Linked DNA regions of Caenorhabditis elegans. The protein of the gene in region 3 purifies or fractionates together with the protein of the main gene of each other region. This does not show direct contact. Each region holds a gene or a part of one and is shown on either strand. Other genes may lie near its edges.

Region 1 (4,240 bases), 2.7 Mb from region 3:
CTTCTATGAATTTATTGATTTTTTTTCAATCACCCGGCTTCTTCAATTTTTCTGTATTTTTGTGATTTTTTTCGAATTTTTTGGTTAAAAATTCATCATTATTCGGTGCTTTTTCTCATGTGCTTCTTTCAAAATTCTTCCATGTTTGTTGGAATATATGGAATTTTTATGTAAAAATCTTCGATCTCTGCGCTTTTTGCTTCAATAAAAAAATTTAATACCGCGGAAACATTCGTTTGAAGAAAATTTCTTAATTAAGAAAAAGTTCAATTATCACCTTTTCCAGCAAGTTTCCAGCTTGAAATTTTTTATTTATTTAATTATTCAATCATTTCTCATAGTGAGACTTATTATTGATTTATGCTTTCATTTTGTCAAAGTGCGTCCATTTTGTATATATATATATTTTTTTTTTTTTTATGTTGCACAATATTTTCAGGTTAAACAAATATTTAGATACATTTAACTTTACCGTAAAATATGAAAAGGTGCACAGTAAATTGAGAATAATTAAGAAATAAATGTTTAAATTTATTATAAGTGAATTTATTTATTTATAAAAATAGTACGTGAAATATCTATATCCACGCCATTAAAAATTATATTTAAACGTACAAAAGATTCATGCACATGAAAGTATTGTTTAAATTAGGGTTCCCAGCTGAGTGAGGCGCAAAATGCGGGCCTCACGCCGGCCTCACGCCGGCCGGCCTTCGCCTTCGCCGTTCGCCGCTTTCAATAATAATGACGTGAATTTTAAATTTTAATTTTCAAAAATTCGTTGAAAATTTAGAAAAAAAATATAAGAAATGAAAATAAAAGTTTATGTGTAATTCAGTGAAAGGCGAGAGTGACGCCGTGAGGCCGGCGCGGCGACCGCTGAGGCGGGCGAAGGCGCCTTTGCGGCGACCTCATGGGAGCCCTAGTTTAAATCAGGTGAAAAATTAATATTTGAAAAAAAAATCATTAGGGACAACTTTTCGTCCCGTTGGCGAGGAACAGGGAAGTGACCTTTACAACAGCTCTAGCACCTAGCCGGACTAGATTCCCTCGGAATAGCCGGACTAGATTCCCTCGGAATACGATTAAACATGAATTTTTTAAGATTTTGATAATATCGAATTTGTAGATCATCTGTGTCGTTCATGCAATTGAAAAACCAAATGCTAGGTTGATTATTTGTAGAATCGGTAACTATGCGAAACGGAATTCCCAAAAATCCTTCTTGAAATATAGAATTATTTACGTCACTGTTCACAAATGTGACCTTGAACTGGAGAAAGTCCGGTGAAACTAGGAACATCTGAAATTATTTTTTTTTAAAAATTACATGAGATATTCGAACTCACATCTCTCAAATATATAACATTTTTCAATGATAACGAATCCAAAATTATGTCAACTTTTCTGAAGTGAACAAGATTTTCAACATCACACTTGATAACACGCTTAATAATTGTCAACTCTTTCGCATTCCTCCATTGTTCCATGACCAAAAACTCTTCAATGCTCCATACATCACTTGCAGGTACGTCGAAAGATGTTCCAAACTCAATTTTGTTCAGCTTAGAGGGATCCACGGATTGGAGCAGTTGCACTATGGTTTTTTGGTTTCTTGTTGTGACAACCAACTTTTCCACTGGCAGCAATCGACCCAGCGAGGCGTGCAAATCTTTGAACGATTTCAAAAATCGATTCTCATTCTGGTCCCAGATTGAATGACTTTCTGTTTCCTGGGGATTCCCCTCAATTTCATCCATGTATTTTTTTTCTTCTTCCGTAACATCCTTGAAACTTGACTCGCTGGTTTCATCAACTTGCATAAAATTCATTTTAAGTTCTTCCAAAGCAGATTTTTGATTTTTCAAAATAAGGAACAAGTCGTTTGAAAAGTTGCCGTAATCCAACTCGCTAGATTTTCTGGATAATCTTGAAGCCTTATATGAAACTTTTCGGTTTGTGGATTCGGTAAACATCTCAAGAAGTGCGCACCCAATGCTTTGAACATGAATGCCGATTTTGAGTAATTTATGGTCTGGTTTGATAAGGTCGATGCACTGACGGCTTCCATAAGAAATTTTACGGAGCACTTGTCTGAAAAAATAAAATTCAAGCTAAAAAAAATCAAAAGACTTTACATACATATCAAAAAAATCGAGACGTTCAACAACGCTGTTCATAATCACAGTGTTGTAGAACCACAAAGTGCTTGATATCGATGAGCCAGAAACTTCAGACAAAAGCTTCGTTTCATCCATTGTCAGCTGCTCTAGCTGGTTCTGAATAGTTGCATTGTTAACAATAATTTCGTTTCGTGCAAGTATTACACTGTAGGAGAAATAAAATATGCCTGTTCTGTGCTAACTCTAGCTTTTTCTCGTGTCGGGCCATAAATTGAGCAAGATTTTGGCAAAACTTGGTTTAGGTTGCTCTTGATCTGCCACTCTTATCTAATTAGGAAATAATGTTAATTGGACATTAAAAAAGACAGAAGTGAAATGGAAGATCAGATTTTTGGCTACATGAGTTTTTTTGGGGTTACCTGGAACTTAGCAGAATAAAAAAGAATTTAAAAATGATTGCAATGTTCCTATTCGTGTATTTTTTTTTTTCGAAAGTTTTCGAAATTTTTTGTGATGTCTCATTATGAAATTCGGTGGTTTTGGACCAGTTTTAGTCTATTTAAGCAAAATATCCACAAACTCTACTCCCCCTTTAAGTTGATTCACAATTTGGAGAAAAATGCAAATTTAACGAAAATCTGAACTTTTGCCATGATGTCAATGTTATGCCGCAGTGACCGAAAGTTGAAATAATTTAATTCGCACTCTAGTTTGCATGTGGTAATTGGTACATTCAATTTCTAAGTCACAACATCTTGACAGTTTTTCCACACAGCAGGACACACGAATTCTTTTTCAGCATCAGATTTTGTCAGCTCCAAAACTGTTGTACAGGCTCACCTGCTAAAGGTCACTCTCTCGCAAAATATGTAGGAGGCAGTTATATTGCCTGTGTATCTCTACAAACTCAACTCTCTCTATACGCTCACAGGCCACTCCCGTTGTGGGGGAAAAACGGTCAAGATGTTGTGACGTAGAAATTGTAGGTACCAACTATGCTCACTTACCAATTATCAACATGCATAGTCGGTACCTTTTCACTAGTCAAGAACATTGATCACATAGAGTCTACAAATTTTCTGACCGAATATATGTTAATTGGAAATAAAAGAAAAGAGCCAAACTTTCGACGCTTTCACTAATTAAATAATTTTTCTGGGCTTCTTTCCGTTAGTTTTTCGTTGTTCTTTTTGTTGCATAGATTGCATAGCAAAAATAATTTATTCATAGGAAAATTGACAACTGACAAAATTGCCGAAAAAAAATCTAAATAACCCCTATGCAAATTTAGCTATTTACCTGTTAAGTTTTCCAGGTTTTCATAAATTCCCCAAATCCAAGTACTGCTCTAAAACAAATAATCTAAAAATTGTCCAGCTTGAAAAACAAATACCCATCTTCCCAACGTCTTCCAGGAAATTCTAACCGCAATAATATTTTCCTGCATTGCATCCAGATGTTAGTTATTGGAAATATATGAACATGCGAAACGGAAACCAATATTTTCTTGGAACATCTTAAAATGAATGAGATTAGTTTTTCTTTGTATAGAGCTTCTTTACACCTATTACCCTACTCATATGAGTTGATTAAATGTATGGGTACTGTAAGGGTACGGTAGTTAAACTCAAAACTGAACTGTTATTATAATTCTTGCCTACTAATATTTACTGTTGAATTTAGTCATTACGGCCCATTTTCTATTATTTAAAGCAAAAAAATTGACTCTACTCCAGTGGTGGGCGGCAAACGATTTTTTCCGGCTAATCAGCAAATTACCAGAATTGAAATTATAGGCAAATCGGCCAACCAGAAAATTGCCGATTTGCCGGAAAAAACACTTCCGGCAAATTGATATCCGACAAATCGGCAAACCGGCAAATTACCGGAATTCAAAATTCCCGGCAAATCTGCAAACCGGCAAATTGGCACAATTGAAAATTCCCGGCAAACCGGCAAATTGGCCGAATTGAAAATTCCCGGCAAATTCTCTAACCGGAAAATTTCAGGCAAGTCGATTAACCGGCAAAGTGCCGGAGTTAAAAATTTCCGGCAAATCAGCTAACCGGAAAATTTCCGGCAAAGTACCGGAGTTAAAAATTTCCGGCAAATCGGCG
Region 2 (7,656 bases), on a different chromosome or scaffold from region 3:
AAAAAAATCTGTTTTTTAGAATTGATTCTGAGACAACACACACTTATAAATAATTACGAGCATTATAATTTTGAGTCTTCTATTCACTGAAATACATGTTTTAAAAAAAAGATAGTAGAAATGTTCAAAATCGAATTAATTTCAAACAAAAAAATTTTTTTCTCCGAGCTTTTTAAAATTTTCAGACATGGCTCTGAGACAACACAAACTTATAAATAATTACGAACATTATATTTTTGAAATTGTATGTCACTGAACTAAATTTCAAACAAAAAAAGAGAGCATAGATTTGTCAAAAATCCAATTTCTACGAACTTTTTAAAATTTTCGAAAAAAAATCTGTTTTTTCAGACATGGCTCTGAGACAACACAAACTTAGAAATAATTACGAACATTATATTTTCGAAATTGCTCCAGTTGTTGAGCCGCTCCGATCTCTGAAAATTCGTAGAGTTTTTATTTATTTTTTTCAGAATTGTTTTTTATATTTTTTTTTGTATATTTATCAACAAATATTAAATATCAAATTAATTCATATATTCTATCTATATTTAAAAAACAATAAAAATTCAACAAGAACAACAATAATTATAAAAGATTCCTATTCCTGAGGCCCGCCACCCATTGGGCTCATAATTAATTTGGAGCATTTCGTCGTCGGCTCCGCTGGGACGTCAAATTGCTCGGCGAGCTCTTTTCCAATGACTTGTAGATCTTCTGAAGGGACTTGGATAGTTTGGAGCACAGCTTTCAGGAATTGAGACGCATTTTCTCTGAAAAAAAAATATTTGTTTTTAATATTTTTCCTCAAAAATCAATTTTTTCCACCACCTACTTTTGCACAATAACACACGCATTCGGACCGGCGTCAAATGTATAAGCAGCTCGAATTCCTCCAATATTAAACTCTTCAACTGTGTCGATTAACTGCCACGATGCTTCATTCAAATACCGAATTGGCGGCGTAGAATCCATGCAAACCGCGTGGAATTGATTGCTATCGGCCATGATGACGCGTGCGAGCTGCTCGAAATTCCGTGAAGTATACGCTTCCTGGATTTGTTGGATTCGTTGAGGAACTATCGATTCAATGCGATGCTTGAGAAGTTGAGATGTTTCTCGTGATCTTCGCATTCCTTCACTGGAGCCCACTTTTTTGCGGCCATCGTCGAAGACTAGAATTATGCAGTAGAGATCTTCCCAGTTGGCGGCGGCTTCTGTTCTCTGGAAATATAGTTTTTATTTTTTTAAATTTAATTTTTTTAATTGATTTATTTTTAATTTTCCGTAAAATCGAAATATACAAATTTTTCAAATTTTTAGTTATTTTTTGAGAAAAAAATCGAAACTTTTTTCACTTTTCCAGGGTTTTATTATCTGAAAATTCATTAATTCAGTTATAATCTCTACATTTTTCAGAAAAATTATTATTTTTTAAAACCAGAGGTGATGAAGAGTTATAAAATTTTTCGAAAATTAATTAAAAAAACCATTTCTGGCCGCCAAATTAAATCGGTGGCCGAAGTTTTTCCAATGGTTGATTTTTTAAAGGAAACTTAATACGAGTACACTGAACTCTAAGAATGCGTATTGCACAACATATTTGACGCTCAAAATATCTCGTAGCGAAAACTACAGTAACTCTTTAAATGACTACTGTAGAGCTTGTGTCGATTTACGGGCTTTCGAACAGAAATTCGTTTCGAAAATCGAGCCCGTAAATCGACAGTCATTTAGAGAGTTACTGTAGTTTTCGCCACGAGATATTTTGCGCGTCGAATATGTTGCCTAATACGCATTCTCAGAATTTAGTGTTCCTGTAATAAGTTCCCTTAAAAAAATCAAAACCATTGAAAAAGCCTCGGCCACCGATTTAATTTGGCGGCTGGAATTGATTTTTTTTCAATTTTCGAGTATTTGTATAACTCTTCGTCTGCTCTGTTTTGGTTTTTTCTCATTTTTGGGAAAATTTTCAAATTTTTGATTGTTTCCGCTTTGTGCTCGGTTTTTATTTTCTAATATATGACCTTTTTCACTTAAATTGAGTTTTCAGACGAAAAATTCTGAAAAAGTGAACAATTTTTCTTTTTTTTTTCTCAGAAAATGACTAAAAATGTGGAAATTTTCCAATTTTTGATTTTACGGAAAATCAAAAAAAAAAAAGTTTTTGTAAAAAAATTTCTGAAATAAAAAAAACGGAAAAAAATCCTGATCACTGCAACTTTTTCCTCACGAGGGACGAGGAAAAGTGGTTTCTAGGCCATGGCCGAGGGGCCGACAAGTTTCAGCGGCCATTTATCTTGTATTGTTTTCCGCTTGTTTTCTTTCGTTTTTCATCGATTTTTTTCGTTTTTTCTTAATAAAACTGATAAATAAATAATTTTGCAGATGCTAAAACAATTTCCAAGTAAAAAAAAGTGTATTCAGTGGGCAAGCAGCGGTGAAAGTGGGCAATGTAAAATTATGGATTACGGGAATACAAAACCTAAACTTTTTCTGAAACATGATACATATGCTGCTTAAATGCTGAGACTACCTGATTTTCATAACGAGACCGCTGAAAAAGTTTTGAGGTTTCCAAAATTCAACTTTTTTGGTGAAAAAGTCGAGATTTTCGCACAAAAAGTTGAATTTTAAAAACCTCAAAACTTTTTCAGCGGTCTCGTTATGAAAATCAGGTAGTCTCAGCATTTAAGCAGCACATGTATCATGTTTCAGAAAAAGTTTAGGTTTTGTATTCCCGTAATCCATCATATTGCATTGACCACTTTCACCGCTGCTTGCCCACTGAATACATAATTTTTTTACTTGGAAAATGTTTTAGCATCTGCAAAAAGTATTTATTTATCAGTTTTAATAAGAAAAAACGGGAAAAATCTGTGAAAAACAAAAGAAAACAGGCGGAAAACAAAGCAAGATTAATGACCGCTGAAATTTGTCGGCCCCTCGGCCATGGCCTAGAAACCACTTTTCCTCGTCCCTCGTGAGGAAAAAGTTGCAGTGTGATTTTTAGAGCTTTTTTTGTCATTGTAGAGTAAAAAAAGTGCCAAAATCTCGATTTTTTGCTCCAAAAATTCCAATTTCCACTGAATTTTCTCGACTTCCCGTACCACAGCCAAACAATCCGATCCATCATCCATCTCCCCTTTCCTCCAATGCACCAATCCTCCATACATGCTCCGGCAGGCACTTCCTGATCCAATTCTTGCGAGCCGATTCGCTTGAGAATCATCTAGTCGTAGAATCCGTTGAATTGCCAATGCAATTGCAGCAAATCCGGCGGCCGAGGATGCCAGCCCAGCTGCAACCGGAAAATTCGTAGTCGAGGTGACGTGGAAATGGTAGAAGATCGGCGGAGGATCATTTCCATTTGAATCCGCCGATGATGCTTCTGCTTCTTTTCGTTTCCTCTGAAGTCGGAGAGCCTCATCGAAGACTGTTTGGTATCGTTTGTTGGAGCTCAGTTCCACTGATTTTCCATTTATTTCTACCTGGAAAATGGAGAATTTAGGAATTTTCTGAAGAGTTTTTTGTGGCTATTTTGAGAAATCAGTGAAAAATTTAAAATTTTTAATTCAGGTTCCGCGGAAAATCACGCAATAATTTTTCCTAAAATTGCAAAAAAAATTCAAAAAATAAAAAATTTCAGCTTGAAAATAATTTAATAATTTTACTTCCGAAATGTCGAAAATATATTTTTCAAAAACAAACCCTTATTTTAAAGAATTATAGATCAAGAGTCAGTGGAAAATCTGGAATTTCAGAGTTTTTTCTGTGATTTTCATTATTTTAAATTTGAAAATATCGAAAATATTGGAAAAATCAAATATTCTAATAGAAAAAGTTGTTTAAAAAAAAAACTCAAATTAATTTAAATTCCTGAAAAAAATTGAAATTATCCCAATTTTTTACATTTTTATTCGAGAACCCAAAGCATAATATTTTTCTCGGAATTTTAGAAAAAAGTCTAAAAATTAAAATTTTTACAAAATTAATTTTTTTGAAAAATGTGAAAACATTTAAAGGTGGTGTAGTCGAATTTTTTTAGTGCTTTGTTAGACTCAAAATTGTCTGAAAACACCGAATTTCATAATGAAACTTCTTGAAATCTTTTCAGAAAAAAGTTATGACGGCTCAAAAAATGGCTTAAAGTTAGTTAAAATCGGAAACTTGACTTGTCAGCGGCTGGACACAGTTTTTTTTTGAAATCACCGTAAAATTTGAAGTGTACAAGTTGATTATCTCGCGTTTTAAACTTCATTAAGGTATTTTAAAGTCGATGGACGGCGAGTTTTGGCTCAAATAAATTGAAAATCCATCGCCGTCCATCGATTTTTAAATACCTTAACCAAGTTTAAAACGCAAGGTAATCAACTTGTATACTTCAAATTTTACGGCGATTTCAAAAAAGTAAGTTTCCAGACAATTTCCGATTTTAACTAACTTTAAGCTATTTTTTGAGCCGTCATAACTTTTTTCTGAAAAGATTTCAAAAAGTTTCATTATGAAATTCGGTGTTTTCAGACAATTTTGAGTCTAACAAAGCACTAAAAAATTCGACTACACCACCTTTAAATTTTTTCACATTTTTCAAAAAAATTAATTTTGTAAAAATTTTAATTTTTAGACTTTTTTCTAAAATTCCGAGAAAAATATTATGCTTTGGGTTCTCGAATAAAAATGTAAAAAATTGGGATAATTTCAATTTTTTTCAGGAATTTAAATTAATTTGAGTTTTTTTAAAAAATAACTTTTTCTATTAGAATATTTGATTTTTACAATATTTTCGATATTTTCAAACTTAAAATAATGAAAGTCACAGAAAAAACTCTGAAATTCTGATTTTCCAATGACTCTTGATCTATAATTCTTTAAAATAAGGGTTTGTTTTTGAAAAATATATTTTCGACAAAATTATTTTCAAGCTGAAATTTTTTATTTTTTGATTTTTTTTTGCAATTTTAGGAAAAATTATTGCGTGATTTTCCGCGAAACCTGAATTAAAAATTTTAAATTTCGGGAAAAAATTTTTAAAAAAAGAATTTCAGTATAATACAAAATTTAAAAATTTTGCTTTTTAAAGAAAATATTAAATTTTGAATTTTTTAAGGTTTGTTTCAAAAAAAAATCGAATTTTAATTTTTTTTTTTATTAAAAAAAATGGTTTTTTAATATTCAAATTCATGAAAAACTACGATTTTTGTCTTTTTCACTTTTTAAAAATATTACCGAGACGCGAAAATTACGATTTTCGCGCCAAAAATACATTACCGGGTCTCGCCACGACAAAAATTTTTTTGTTAAAAACAAAAGATGTGTGCCTTTAAAGAGTACTGTAGTTTCAAATCAGAATTTATTGATTTTCCCTAGCGGAAAACTATGAAAAATCAATTTTAAAAAATTCTGAAACTACAGTATCTTTAAAGGCGCATCACATCTTTGCATTTTGCATTTAACAAAAATTCGGTCGTTTCGAGACTCGGGGTACCGTATTTTTTGCGCAAAAATAGCAAACTTCGCTTTTTTGGGTAATATTTATGGCATTTTTTGAGGGAAAAAAGTCATTTTTTCTCAAATTTTTCGATATTTTTCATGGAAACCAGATTTTTCAACAAAAAAAATTTCCCGCTCCAAAATTCCGCGCTACCGTATGCTTCCCAACTCCAGGAACCATCCGAATTGTCGTCTCCGCCGTCAGCCGATCCACGGTCAGTGAAATCGAATCATTGAGCGGCAGAATGAGTAGATCATCTCGTTTTCCCCAATACTTGACAAGTGCAATGTTCATCGGAACTCGGACCGTCGCCTCCGCCTCCGCTGCTCCATCGTCTTGGCTCATTCTGGTGGCAAAAAATCTGAAAAATTGCTGGAAAACGGAGTGACCAAAAAAAGCGGCAAAAATCTGGAAATCCAACAGGAACAAAAAAAAACTGGAAAAATGCCCTAACAAGCTAAATTTACATGTAAATTTATATAATTAAATTTTTGTATAATCTAAAAATCCATAGGATTATGCTATACACGTAGACATTAAGAACTTTGTGAAAAAAAAATGAATTTTTAGGGGTAAAAAGGTAAAATAGGGTGTATTTACGCGGGAAAGAGAGATGGAGAGAGAGACTAGAGAAAAATGCGAAAAAAATTGGGAAAAAAAACGATAAAATAAAAGATTATTCCTCGTCCATCGAGGTTCTTCTCAACACTGGAACCGGGAAACCGTGTTTCGAATCCTTGGCTGGCCATTCGTAAGTCTTATTGATCAGCTCATCATACTCAACACTGTACAGGTTCTGGCGAATGAACATTTCCTGGAAAAATTCAAATTTTTTATAAATTTAAAACTGAAAAAAAAGCACAAACTTTTAACCAATTTTACGAAATTTTTTAACAAATTTTTTGAGAAATTGCTAGTTAAAAATTAATTAAAAATTCTCAAAAAATCCCAAAATTTTTGACAATTTTTTAGGGGAAAATTGCGTTTTTTAACTTCTCATTTTCCTTTTTTTTGAGATTTTTTTCGGAAATTTCGGGTTAAAAATTGAAATTTCTCAAAAAATTCCAAAATATTTGAAAAATTTTAAGATTTTTGACAATTTTTAGGGGAAACTATTATTTTTAGAATCAATTTTTCACTTTTATTTCCAAGTTCAAGGTCAAAAAAATCGAAATTTTCAAAAAATTAAAATTTCCCAAAAAAAAAAAGAAGCAAAATTTCTCTTTAAAAAATTGAAATTTCCAGAAAAATCCGAAATTTCCCGAAATTTCCCGACATTTTCAACCCGAAATTCAGAATCAGCATACTTTAATTAACAATTTTCAGCTCATTTAAACGAAATATCGTAGAATCCGGTGCCAAGTACGCAAACACCGAAGCTCTGCGTACTTCTGAGGCTACAGTAACCCGGAAATTTTCAAAATTGAGCTAGAGACTCCAAAAAAAAGACGACTAGGGGCGAAATTTTACGAGGAACTCGAATTTTGCAGTGTCGATTAATCTGCGGCTCGTGTGTACTCCCCGAGGAGAAGTTTGCGTTGTTTTTGCAAGGAAATTCACGTTTTAGGCTAAAAGTAGTCCATTTTTGCTGATTTTTTGATTTTTAACGATTTAAATCACCTAATTTATTGATTTTTTAAAGTTTTTAGTGAAAATAAATGAATTTACTGCTGAAAATGCACTAGAAACCAGAAAAATCGTACTTTCACCGGAAAAAAACCTATGAAAATGAGCAATTCGAATAGTAAATTCGGAAATTCTCCTCGGGGAGTACACGAACCGCGTAAATCGACACACGGTCATATTTTTGCATTCGAAAAAAAATGTGAAAAATTATATTTTCAGCAGTTTTTTTCGGAAAAATCGTCAGAAATAAGTAGAATTTTTCAATTTTAGGCATAAAATTGTCTAAAAATCATTTTTGAAGGTATTTTTCAAAATTTTTTCATGTTTTTCAGCTAAAAATGCTTTTTTCCATGAAAAATTATTCTTTTCCTCGAGGAGTACACGACTCGCGTAAATCGGTACACGGCCATTTTTTGCATTAAAAAGTGAGGAAAATCAATTTTTTCGGGTGGGGAAAAGTCTTTTTTTGTCATTTTTAAAAATGTTTTTCATCCATTTTTCATGTTTTTTCAGCTTGAAATGCTAGGAAAATCGAA
Region 3 (4,188 bases):
TGAACATGTGTTGAAACAGTTTTCCGGTAAAACTGATTCAATTTGTACAAGCAGCAAAAACCCGTTCTCAATAGAAGCATCTAAACAAATGCAAATGGTTTTAACACGTAACATGGACATAGTTGTACTACACCAATCATTGAAATATGATCTTAATGATGTACTAAATAGTGACAAATGCTTCCGCATTCGTCGCTTATCTAAGAATCAAAGATGTCAATATATTTTTGAAACACTGGATTCACGGAGTCGACAGGAAACTGGAATCTGCGAATTTCGATTTTACTGCATTCAGGTGAGACGAAGATCTTCTCGAATCACTCTTTGAAGGTATAGAATATCTAGCAGATAGCTATCTCTAGTGCGCTTTCGATGCTGAGGAGACTGTGGATAGAGAATTTTTTGTTCTTTTGCCGTTGGGATTGACGGGATGTGACGAGTATCCTGTCAAAGGTGGTTATGATGTGAGAAGGAATGATGGGATGACGGCTATGTACTATTTATCATTGTAGATCGTGCAGATATATTAATCAAAATGTTTTTCTGGTTTTAAAATCACGTTAATTTTTAATAATCAAGACCACGCATTGGATCACTTTCTAATTTTTTCTGCACTCTCTGAATTATTTCTCTTGTATAATTTTCGAATAATGTTGCCGCCAATAATAACACGTTTTATTTTTGATAAGAACAACTTTTATGGACAAATAAAAAACATTGTGAGATTTATGAGAAGGAATTCCGGGATTTTTAGGAGTTACATACAATAAATACTGTCAATTAATTGGATTATGGCCTCATTTCTTTTTGTGGCCATTTCCCTTTTTTGGAGCAGTTGATGCAGTGAGCCCTGCAACTTCTCGGAAGGCAACCACGTATTTCTGAGCAACCGGCATTGGAGGGCAGAATCCTGATGCATAGCTGTCGTCTTCGAACGCTACTTGATATGGTTCTCGAAAATCTGCTGGCGGGGAGTGAACTATTCCTGGAAAATAATTATTTTATTTTTGAAACTTTTGTGAAAATTGGTACCTTTGTAGAAGCAAGTGGTTTGTGGATACAACGCCAACACAATCGCATTTTTCTCGAAAAGTGCATGCTTGTCTGATGCAGGATTCGCTTTCCATTTTGGGAGGGGTAACAAATGGCTTCTCGCGAAAACTGTCAACTTCTTCTTGTCATCATCAACGTCTCGACACTCATATCGCGAGTTAGAGTGACATGTGACAATATCAGCAAGAATCCAGTTTCCGTCTTTACTGAATGCCGCCACTGAATCTCCGTCGCCTAGTTTCGAGCCATCCTGTGGTGCAATAGCTCCAACATATTCTCCAGGAAATTGTGTGTCATGGCTGGTCCATAATGGAAGAAGGTCGCCGCGAACCTTGATCAGTTCCATTAAATCTCTCCGACTGATGTCTCCGGCCATTTGGGAGCGATAATCCATTTCAGCAACACGTTTTACTTCGTCCAAAAGATTTCTGTAATATTTATTTTAATTTTGAGAGATTAAAGATGAAAACGAACCTAATGAATGATTGTTGTGATTCCACAGATCGATGAGTGCTGGTGACAAAATGTGAAATTCCATCGAAAACCATGGAAACTTCTCAGTAAACCCGTTCAGAATATACCCAGATTTCAACCGAATTTGTGCACAGCATGCAGAAATCGCCGAATTTGTACAGATTGCAAATTTGAACAGATTTTCGAGGCAATTGCCCCGAAAATTTTGTTGAAACTATTCAAAACTTTACTTCAAATTTTAAAAATTTATCTAAAACTTGGTCTTCATTGATTTCTTTTGTTAAGATTTTAATTGATATTTGCAAGAAAACTTTAAAATCGTGGCGAGACCCAGCCGTACAACCACGTGCCCCTTTAAACAGACTACTGTATTTATATTGAATTTTTAATGATTGGATTTCGCAAAAATTAGTTATAAAAATTGTTTAAAAAAACCCACTTTACCCTTTCCATAGGGGTTCGGCTCATTATCTCGGAATTCTTGAAGTTTTTGCAGATTCTCGTTGATAGCGTCTTGCTTCGATTTCACTGTTGGCAGCTGGAAAATTAATTTCAAAACTAGGAATAAATAAATAAATAAAACTCACCTTTTTGATAACCTCTTCGGCGGTTTTCTTCTTCATTTCCTCGGTGATTTGCACATCGTTCTTCTTCCGAGGCATTTTGAAATTATGCTATTTTCCTGAACAAGGAAATGAAGAGGTGCAATAGAGCAGATATATATTTAAACGGGAAGAATCGAGAGAGACCTGATTACGTGATGAGACGGGGAGAGTGCAGACATTACAAGTCGTATGCTGTGAATGAGGCAATGAAAAGGCCAGGTTGTTGCGGTGGGAAAATAACGTATATGGAGTAATTTACCAGTGAAAAGCCGGGAATAGTTGAAATTCATATTCTAATCAATCAATCAGAGCAGTAATGCATTGTAAAATTATACCTCAAACAAATTCATCTTTGAAAAAAAATCAAAATAAATGCGGGCAATATACATGTCGAATATAAACAAAATAGTCGTGGGTTGTCACAATTTGGGCATTGGAGAATCTATATACATAAAACAACTAAAACAAAAAAGGAAAATAAAATAGGGGAAGTTAGTTGGAATATTCAACAGGAACCACTCGGTTATTTAAATACATATACAATAATACAGACTTATGCACATTACTACTAATTATAGGACATATATGGAGTTACTCGTCCTCTTCATCCAGTTCGAATGTTTCGAGAAACGAGATCAGGTCGTCGACTGGCGCAATTCCGTTTTCCAGCGAGATCATATCCTTTTCGACCTCGAATTCGTGGATTTCGACTGGCTCTTCGACAATCAGCACTCGCCGGTTCATGCACTTCACCGTTTGCTCCAATTCGATGTACTGAAAATGTTATAAATTGGAAATCGATAGAATTATTGCTATACAACTCACTCTATTTCTTCGGAAAGGATCCCTGGTGCTCGAGTTGTTCTTGTACACGATCCTCGTTTCCACGTGGCGCTTTCCTCGAATTGAACACGTGATTGATGCAGTCGAAGTCATCAGCCGGCCTTGTGAATCGAGTCCTGGCTCGAGATTTCCGTATTCCCGGCAGTGTGTGGTTCTCAGGAGACGAGTGATAGTCTGAAACATGAAAAGTTATTTGTGTGTAATATAAAACCGATTTACTTACTCTCTTCGTCTGTGATCGGATCAGGGTTGCAACCACAAAGCTATCTGTCATTTGGAACCTTTCGTTTTCCTTCTCTAGTTGTTCGAGCAATGCAAATAACGTTTGGAACGACATTTCATTGGTTGTCTGGATAGCAAATCGAGCCACATTTTGTCCCGTTTCCTTCGGTTCGGTCAGGAGAGAAGTCTGAAATGAGATTTATGCTTTATCAAAAATATGGCCAAGAAACTAACCAGAATCAAACTAGAGATATCCTCGACCGACAGCTTCCGGCACTGAGCGGCAAAATAATGTGGTCGTTGGTTGGGATGAAGAAACACGTGCTCGACAAGCGCTTTCTCCGATTCTCTGGTCGTGTGGAACCATCTTTGCGAGAAATAGTCGTAGCGCTTAAGACGAAGATTTTCAATCGGCACAGTCTGAATGTGCCGGAGCACTTTGACAGCTTCATCGCGGATGATTGTCTTGCTCGGTTTCTTGTCGACGAGCTTTGGAGTCTCATCGATACGATGAACGGAACAGTAGTTCTCATCTTCGACGAGCTCCACATCTTCTCCGTGCCCTTCGATAATTACATCATGATTGATGTTGGGTTGTGGTGGGAGGGAAGAGCAACCGGCTCGAGCGGTTTCCAAGCGATCTTCTTCGGCGTAGTTGGCGACGTATCTGGTCGCCGTCAAATCGCGAAGGACGGTGCGAGATGGAGCTGACATTCTGAAAAACGTTGATTTAAAATTTTATAAAAAATTTGAAGCAAAAATGAAAGAGAAAACTAAAAAAAAAGTAAATGTACTGAAGTGATTGGCAGATTAATAATAATTTATCGATAAAACCATTTTTTAAAAAACTTCATCAGTTTTTGTGAGTGTCAGCAAAGAAGAAGAAGATTCACGATCAAAAATTCGTTGAGCCTATATGAAATAGTTGCGCTGGTTTTTCGACGGGGGGATCAAATACGTCAAATAGGTCAAATAGACGAAGCATTCATAA
Region 4 (7,117 bases), on a different chromosome or scaffold from region 3:
GTGCAAAAATTGGCATTTTTCGGGGAAAATCGGAATTTTTTTGTTTTGAGTTGAAAAACATCAAAAATTTGAAGTTCTTCCACAGAAAAATGAATTTTAAATTAAATTTTACAAAATGTTAGGCTATTGCCAAAATTAATTAGTTTTAGACTAGAAAATCGAAATTTTGGGGTAAAAATTGCCAAAAATTCCAATTTTCCCGTCAAAAAGCTTAAAATATTAAAAATTTGCAAAAATTTTCAAATTTTTAGGTTAAAAATCACTAAAAATTTCAGTTTTCACTCAAAAAATTCAAAATTTGAAAAAATTATAAAATTTTAGACTAAAAATTGCCAAAAATTCAAATTTTTTAGACAAAAAGCTATATTCGAAATTTGACGAAAATATAAAATCTTAGGGTAAAATTTTCCCCAAAATTTCAAATTTTTTGGTCAAAAAATCAAAATTTGCCAAAATTATCAATTTTTAGGTTAAAAATCACTAAAAACCCCAATTTTCAGCTCATTTTCGCTCAAAAATCACCAAAAAAACACGAAAAAAGCTCAAAAAATTTAAATAACACGGCTTCCTTTGACAATATTCTTGGCACTTCGTTTCTCGACAACTTTCGACTTCAGACGATTCTTAATTCTTCTTTTTTCCTTATCACCACCAATTGGAAGCATATTTCTTCTCTGCAGACTTTTAGAAATATTTCACCTTTTTCCTGAAAATTCCGGCTTTTTTTTGGAAATTTCAAATTTTTCAGAAAAACAGTTTTTCATGATAAAAAATAACGAATTAACAACAAAATAAAAGAGTAATGAAGGGGAACAACAACGATATTTTTGGAAAAAAAATGGAAATTGGGGTGAAATTGGGGTGATTTTCGATGGAAAAATGTCTGAAAATTGGGAATTTTGTAGTGAAATACCATTGAAAATGGAAATTTTTTGAACTTTTAGCTAAAAAGGTGCAAAATTTGGCATTTTTTGGGGAAAATCGGAATTTTTTTGTTTTGAGTTGAAAAACATCAAAAATTTGAAGTTCTTCCACAGAAAAATGAAATTTAAATTAAATTTTATAAAACATTAGAATTTTGCCAAAATTAATCAGTTTTAAGCCAGAAAATCAGATTTTCAGAATAAAAAATGTCTAAAATTTCAAATTTTTTGGTCAAAAAATCAAAATTTGCCAAAAAAATTATCAATTTTTAGGTTAAAAATCACTAAAAACCCCAGTTTTCAGCTCGTTTTCCCTCAAAAATCACCAAAAAAAAACGACAAAAAATTTAAATAACACGGCTTCCTTTGACAATATTCTTGGCACTTCGTTTCTCGACAACTTTCGACTTCAGACGATTCTTAATTCTTCTCTTTTCCTTATCTCCACCAATTGGAAGCATATTTCTTCTCTGCAAACTTTTCATTCTATCATCCAACACGTGTCCCTGTGGCTTCAATTGACGAAGGTTTCCAGTTAGTTCTTCCTGAAGAAGGAATGGATCTTCGGCGTCAACGAATTTTCCTTTTCCGAGTTGCTGACGTTTTGTCAGTTTATTTATCAATTTTTCCTTTTTACGGACTTCCGACTCCTCGTGACGCTGCTTTTCCTCTTCGTCAAGCTCTTTGTGCAGTTGTTTTGTGCTGCAAAATTGGGGATTTTTGTAGTTTTAGGTGAAAAATTTGGAAAAATTAGTGAAAATTAGCCAATTTTTGGATTTTTAGGTGAAAAATTTGGAAAAATTAGTGAAAATTTGATTTTTAAGAAGAAATTGGCGCTTTTTTTTGACTTTTCATAGGAAAATATAAAGATTTTCAAATTTTTTGTGCAGAAAAAAGAATAATTTTGGCTTTTTTTGTTTTGGCTTTTTTACGAAAAATGTGGAATTTTGAATAAATTTTTGAATTTTTGGATTTTTCAGATGAAAATTTGGAATTTTTTTTTTGAAAAATTCGTCGTCCAAAAAAAAATTCATTTTTCATGTTTTAGCTTTGAAATTATCAAAAAATGCCGATTTTTATATCGATTTTCATCGATTTTCAGAGTTAAAATGCGCTGAAAATACAGAAATTTCCTGGAATTTTAAACTTTTTGGGAGGTTTTTCTAAAAAAATTTTCGGCCTTCTCGAAACTTCGAGCTAAAAACGAGCAATTTTCCATGTAAATTTTGCACAAATTTTCAGAATTTTCAGCATTTTTCGGGGATTTACTCGATGATATTCTACAATTTTATAGATAATTTCTAGAATTTTCACGGAAATCACCGATTTCTACACGAAATTTCCGTGATTTTCTCGTTTTTTGGGCCGTTTTTCTGGAAATTTCCAGGATTTTTTCGCATTTTCTCAAAATTTCCTGTAATTTTCAGGGCTAAAAACGAGCATTTCACTCAGCTCGTACCGATCCTGCTCCTTGGCCTTTTTCACGTTTTTCAGGTGAAAATTCGGTACATTTTGTGAAATTTTAGGAAAAAATTTGAAATTTGGGACATTTTTTAAAATGAAATCTTGGGTTTTTTTTAGAGGAATTTTGAAATTTTTGAGAAAATTTGGAATATTTTGGATTTTTTTTGGCCAAAGTTATGGAAATTAGGAATTTTTGGAGTAAATTTGAATTTTTTTTTGGAGAAACTTCGCGGTTTTTTTGGAAATTTTTCGAATTTTAAATAAAAATGTGGTGAAATTTTGGAATTCTGAAAAAAATTGAAATTTAATTTTAGAATTTAATAAACTTTTTTTTGGATTTTCAGAAAATTTGGATTTTTAGAGGAAAATTCGGCGGAAAGTTTTTCCGAATTTCCACCAAATACTCTCAAAAAAAAATTGTAAAACTTGAATTTTACGGATTTTCTACGATTCTCGTCGTGAAAATTTGTCAAATTTTCAGGTTTTTGTTTCGAATTATATATAGCATTTCTTCAAAATTTCCTGTAATTTTCCGGCTAAAAACGAGCATTTCTCCTCAGCTCGTACCGATAGACATTATGTGAATCCTGCTCCTTGGCCTTTTCCTCAAGCCGACGCTTCTCTTCTTTATCCAATTTCTGTGCTTTTGCCTTCTTTTTCTTTTGCTCTTTTGTCATACGGTCACATTCGACACGTTGGCTCTTTGGCTCCGCTTCTCCACCAGTTTTCATCGATTTTTCAGAATTTCCAGCTTCTTCTTCTTCTTCATCGTCTTTTCCGTATTTCGGATGAATTCTGAGTCCTTCAGCCATTTCCAAGAAGCGCTCGTGCTCTGTGGTCACCTGGAAATTTCAAATTGATAGCAAATTTTGGGATTTTTTTTTAGCAAATTCCAGGCTTTTTCAGCTTAAAAATTAGCTAAAAATTGGCTTTTTTGACTGCGAAAAAAACCCTCGAAAATGACGTTTTTAAAACAATTTTCCCATTTTTCCCACTGAAATTGGCCATTTTTTGTAGTTTTTGTAGTCTAAGCAGCTCCAAAAATATAAAATTCAGGCTTTTCCACCCGTTTTTGTGCAATTTTTACGGGAAAAGTTGTGAAAACCTTTGAAAAATGTTACTTTTACGCCACTTTTTAAATCAAGATTAAAATCAAGATTTTCACCGATTTTTTCACTAAAAAAGCTGGAGAAAAGTCAATTTTTAGTTCAAAATCAAGAAAAATGAGCAAAAAACCATGATTTTGTAGTCTTTGTAGTTAGCAGCGGCCAAAAATTGTAGTTTTTGTAGTCTAAGCAGCGCCAAAATCTAAATTTTAACGACTTTTAGGTCATTTTCTTCGATTGTTCATCATTTTTCTTCAATTTTTCGTTTTTGTAGTCAAAGCAACGCCAAAATGTTAAAAATCAGGCTTTTACACCTATTTTTGTGCAATTTTTTCGGGAAAAGTTGTGAAAAACGCCACTTTTAGGGAATTTTTTAAGAGAAAATCTAGATTTTCACTGATTTTTCACCAAAAAAAACCTGGAGTAAAGTCAATTTTTAGTTCAAAATCAAGAAAAATGAGTAAAAAACCATGATTTTGTAGTCTTTGTAGTCTAAGCAGCGCCCAAAATCTAAAATTTGTTGGTACTTGGACAAAATTTGACCAAAATCTCCTGTTTTTCACCTGAAAATTGCCGATTTTGGCTGAAAATCGTCCAAAAAAAATACAATTTTCATGTTTTTAGGCTCTAGATGAGCAAAAATTCAAGTTTCTCTCGATTTTTTTGGTTAAAATTTCGCTATTTTCCAAATTTTCTAGATGAAAATGCAATTTTCAGAGCAATAAAACTCGAATTTCAACAATTTTTGAGCCAAATTCGTCGACTTTTCATATTTTCTCTGGTTTTTCACCAATTTTCGCCAATTTTTTCTCTAATTTTCCTGTTTCTCATCTATTTTCTGCGATTTTCGCCAATTTTTTCAGCAAATCAGTTGGATTTCTCTCTATTTTCGCTAAATTTCCATTTAAATCGCTCCAAAAAATTTTGGTAGCAGCTGCTTTTTGTAGTTTTTGTAGTCTAAACAGCGCCAAAATCTAAATTTCAACAATTTTTAGGCCATTTTCTTCGATTTTTCGACCATTTTTCTCGGATTTTCTCCAATTTTTCTCAAATTTCCAGCCAATTTCTTCCTTCTCAACGCCTACACACACCTTCTCCCACTGTGGCTCAATTCCGGCTTTAATCTTCGCCTCGTGATCAATCAATTTCTGTTCTTCTCCGGCAATTTTCGCCACATATTCCTGATATTCTGCACTTTCTGGATTATAAGAAGCACCTCCTTCGGCAATTTGTACTGCTGGAAGCAGACTTGTAATCGATTTTCCTGGCGTTTTCGGCTGCTTTTTCTTCACAACTTTCAGAAAATGCTCTGCGGCTTCTTGATTCTCAAGCTTAGATTTCGGAATCTTCGGCGTCAAATCAGTCGTCCAAACGTCGAAATTCTTCTTTTTCGCCGCCGGCGCCGCTGCTTTTGGCCCCTTTTTCAGCGCCAAAATCGCGTTGCCACGTGGCAATTTGGCGGGTTTTTTCAGAATTTTCGATGTGGTGGATGGTTTTGGAAGTGTGACATGCTCCTGTGTGATGTTTTTGGTGATTTTTTCCAACGCGGCCTGCTGCTTTTTCGTCAGTTTCGGCACGACTGGCTTGTTGGCGGTGGCGGTACGATCGACAATGAACAGATCTTCGTCTTTCATCTCAGAAATGACACCTCCAGTTGCTGCCTGACGGGATTTGATGTCTGAAAATCGGAAAAATTAGTGAAATTTAGCCTAAAAACGTGAAAAAATTGAGAATTTTTGCCTAAAATTAGCTTAGCAGCGCCAAAATCATATTTTCGCTCAAAATTAACCAAAATCGCCGATTTTTGTCGCAATTTTGAAAGAATTACCATGTTTAATGGAAATTTTTGGTTTTTTCGTCAAAATACTGGAAATTTCGATGATTTTTCAGCGACAATCGCTCGAAAATAAACTTACGAATCGAATCCTCAATATCATCGATATTCGTTCCCTTTCTCCAATATTTCTTGTTGTGGCGTGAGCCCTTCGCGGCTCCAGTACGTTTTCCAGCGACCATCTGAATGCGGAAATTGGCAAAAAAGTGGAAAAAAGGTTGAAAAAGGTAAAATTAGGGTGGAAAACCCGTTGAAAATTCAAGAAATACGATAAAAAATCAAGAAAAAACCCATTTTTATCGGGGAAAAAGCAACGAAATCAACTAAAACTACCCAAAAAATCTACAAATTAACGCCTCGCCATTCGGAAAAATCGGACAACGTTGACTTTGAGTGCTGGCCAAATCAGTTGCAGGTTTCGGCGGTACCATTCTCTGAAAATATTGATTTTTTACATGAAAAATAGCAATTTTCATGGATTTTAATCGATTTTTCGCGAATTTTCATCAATTTTAATCAATTTTATCCGATTTCCACCGCATTTTCACCCACTTATTATAGGCCATCATCGCCACGTGTCGATCATTCAAAAAATCGCGATAAAACTCGCTGAGCTCGTTCGCCGACACGTGTTCCAGTCTTCCAAGCTCTTGCTGCTTTCGCTCGACAAAATCCGACTTTTGCCGGTCGAACAGTTGATTGTGTTCGGCCCAAAAATCCGAATTCCACTGATTCAGCTCTTCCCGAGCCAGCCGATACTGCCGCTCGAGTTCCGACTCATTATCGACGCGGCGGAGCCTGGAAAATCAATAATTATAATTTTTAAAACAGATTTTTGGCAAAAAATATGGGAAAATTTCGCTGAAAACCGACGAAAATTGATTAAAATCTAGTTTTCGTTAACAAATGGAAAAGTGCGCGGAGGTGTTGCGTCACCAAACTCCGCCCACTTTTCCGTGCGGCAGCGCTAAAAATTGCGAAAATTATTTATTTTCAGCGTATTTTTCAGGATTTTCTCACATAATTTTGCGAATTTTCGATAAATTATCCGGCGGTCCAACCCAATCGAATCGGCGATCCATTCGGACATTTGATGAGGAGGAGGAAATCGATGACATCTGGGAAATTAGGCTGAATTTTGGGGAAATAGGGAAAAAATTATAGGAAATATATAAAAAACCGGAGTTTTTACCGGGAAAATTGCAATAAAACGCTGAATAAAAGGTGTTTAATTAAATTAAGAAACCAACAAGTGAAAAAATAACAAGAATAGAGTATATAAAATCAACAAAAAAAATTTGAAAAAACCAATCACAATCCTTCAGAATTCTCCAACGAGCTCCGAATAAGCTTAAACATTTTATCATACTCTGTCATATTATGAATAACTAATAAAATCGAAGCCAGAAGCTCTCGGGTGTTCAGAAGGTGTTGTAGGTATCCTTTAGTGTATTTTGTGCACGTATAGCAGGCGCATCCGTCGAAAAGTGCGGTAAAATCGTCGGCGAACTTCTCATTATTGAAATCCACTACTTCATATTTCGAAGACGTCGGAAAATCGTCTGAAAGACAGAACGCGTGGCCTTCTTCGGCCAATTTAACTGGAAATGACGAGTCGAACAGATCGATTCCTTGTTGGACGAGGAAAAGCACGGTTTTTGGGTTGAAAGGTCCTGAGATACATCGGAGTTTTGTAGGTGGAAGTGGGCTCTGGAAAAAAATGCATGATTTTTTGGGGAAAAATCGACCATTTCCGCTAGAAATCCGGGATTTTCAGTTAAAAATCCGAG

Evidence for each region.
Region 1: the proteins of Y17G9B.8 (region 3) and R05C11.2 fractionate together in Caenorhabditis elegans (co-fractionation; one large-scale study listed by BioGRID). This does not show direct contact.
Region 2: the proteins of Y17G9B.8 (region 3) and Y48B6A.13 fractionate together in Caenorhabditis elegans (co-fractionation; one large-scale study listed by BioGRID). This does not show direct contact.
Region 4: the proteins of Y17G9B.8 (region 3) and nol-53 fractionate together in Caenorhabditis elegans (co-fractionation; one large-scale study listed by BioGRID). This does not show direct contact.

What each region holds. Positions count from the first base shown.
Region 1 is NC_003282.8:2,056,854-2,061,093, forward strand, and holds R05C11.2 (DUF38 domain-containing protein), read right to left. Parts: upstream 2,259-4,240; coding exon 2,143-2,258; intron 2,095-2,142; coding exon 1,350-2,094; intron 1,304-1,349; coding exon 1,025-1,303; 3' UTR 525-1,024; downstream 1-524.
Region 2 is NC_003280.10:14,220,421-14,228,076, forward strand, and holds Y48B6A.13 (Diphosphomevalonate decarboxylase), read right to left. Parts: upstream 5,856-7,656; 5' UTR 5,840-5,855; coding exon 5,648-5,839; intron 3,492-5,647; coding exon 3,111-3,491; intron 1,225-3,110; coding exon 836-1,224; intron 774-835; coding exon 602-773; 3' UTR 519-601; downstream 1-518. Other genes in the region: men-1 (Malic enzyme), read right to left, coding at 6,171-6,308.
Region 3 is NC_003282.8:4,756,517-4,760,704, forward strand, and holds Y17G9B.8 (SGF29 C-terminal domain-containing protein), read right to left. Parts: upstream 2,325-4,188; 5' UTR 2,115-2,324; intron 2,066-2,114; 5' UTR 1,602-2,065; coding exon 1,528-1,601; intron 1,482-1,527; coding exon 1,033-1,481; intron 986-1,032; coding exon 798-985; 3' UTR 661-797; downstream 1-660. Other genes in the region: Y17G9B.11 (PID domain-containing protein), read left to right, coding at 89-295, 346-426; memi-1 (MEiosis-to-MItosis transition associated), read right to left, coding at 2,724-2,906, 2,958-3,149, 3,199-3,384, 3,432-3,911.
Region 4 is NC_003283.11:19,000,348-19,007,464, reverse strand, and holds nol-53 (Ribosome biogenesis protein NOP53), read right to left. Parts: upstream 5,510-7,117; coding exon 5,410-5,509; intron 5,172-5,409; coding exon 4,585-5,171; intron 3,230-4,584; coding exon 2,955-3,229; intron 1,626-2,954; coding exon 1,271-1,625; 3' UTR 749-1,270; downstream 1-748. Other genes in the region: Y39B6A.34 (COA8 family protein Y39B6A.34, mitochondrial), read right to left, coding at 5,677-5,761, 5,880-6,125, 6,348-6,445; tgt-2 (Queuine tRNA-ribosyltransferase accessory subunit 2), read right to left, coding at 6,639-7,037. UniProt on the Caenorhabditis elegans protein: May play a role in ribosome biogenesis, being required for integration of the 5S RNP into the ribosomal large subunit.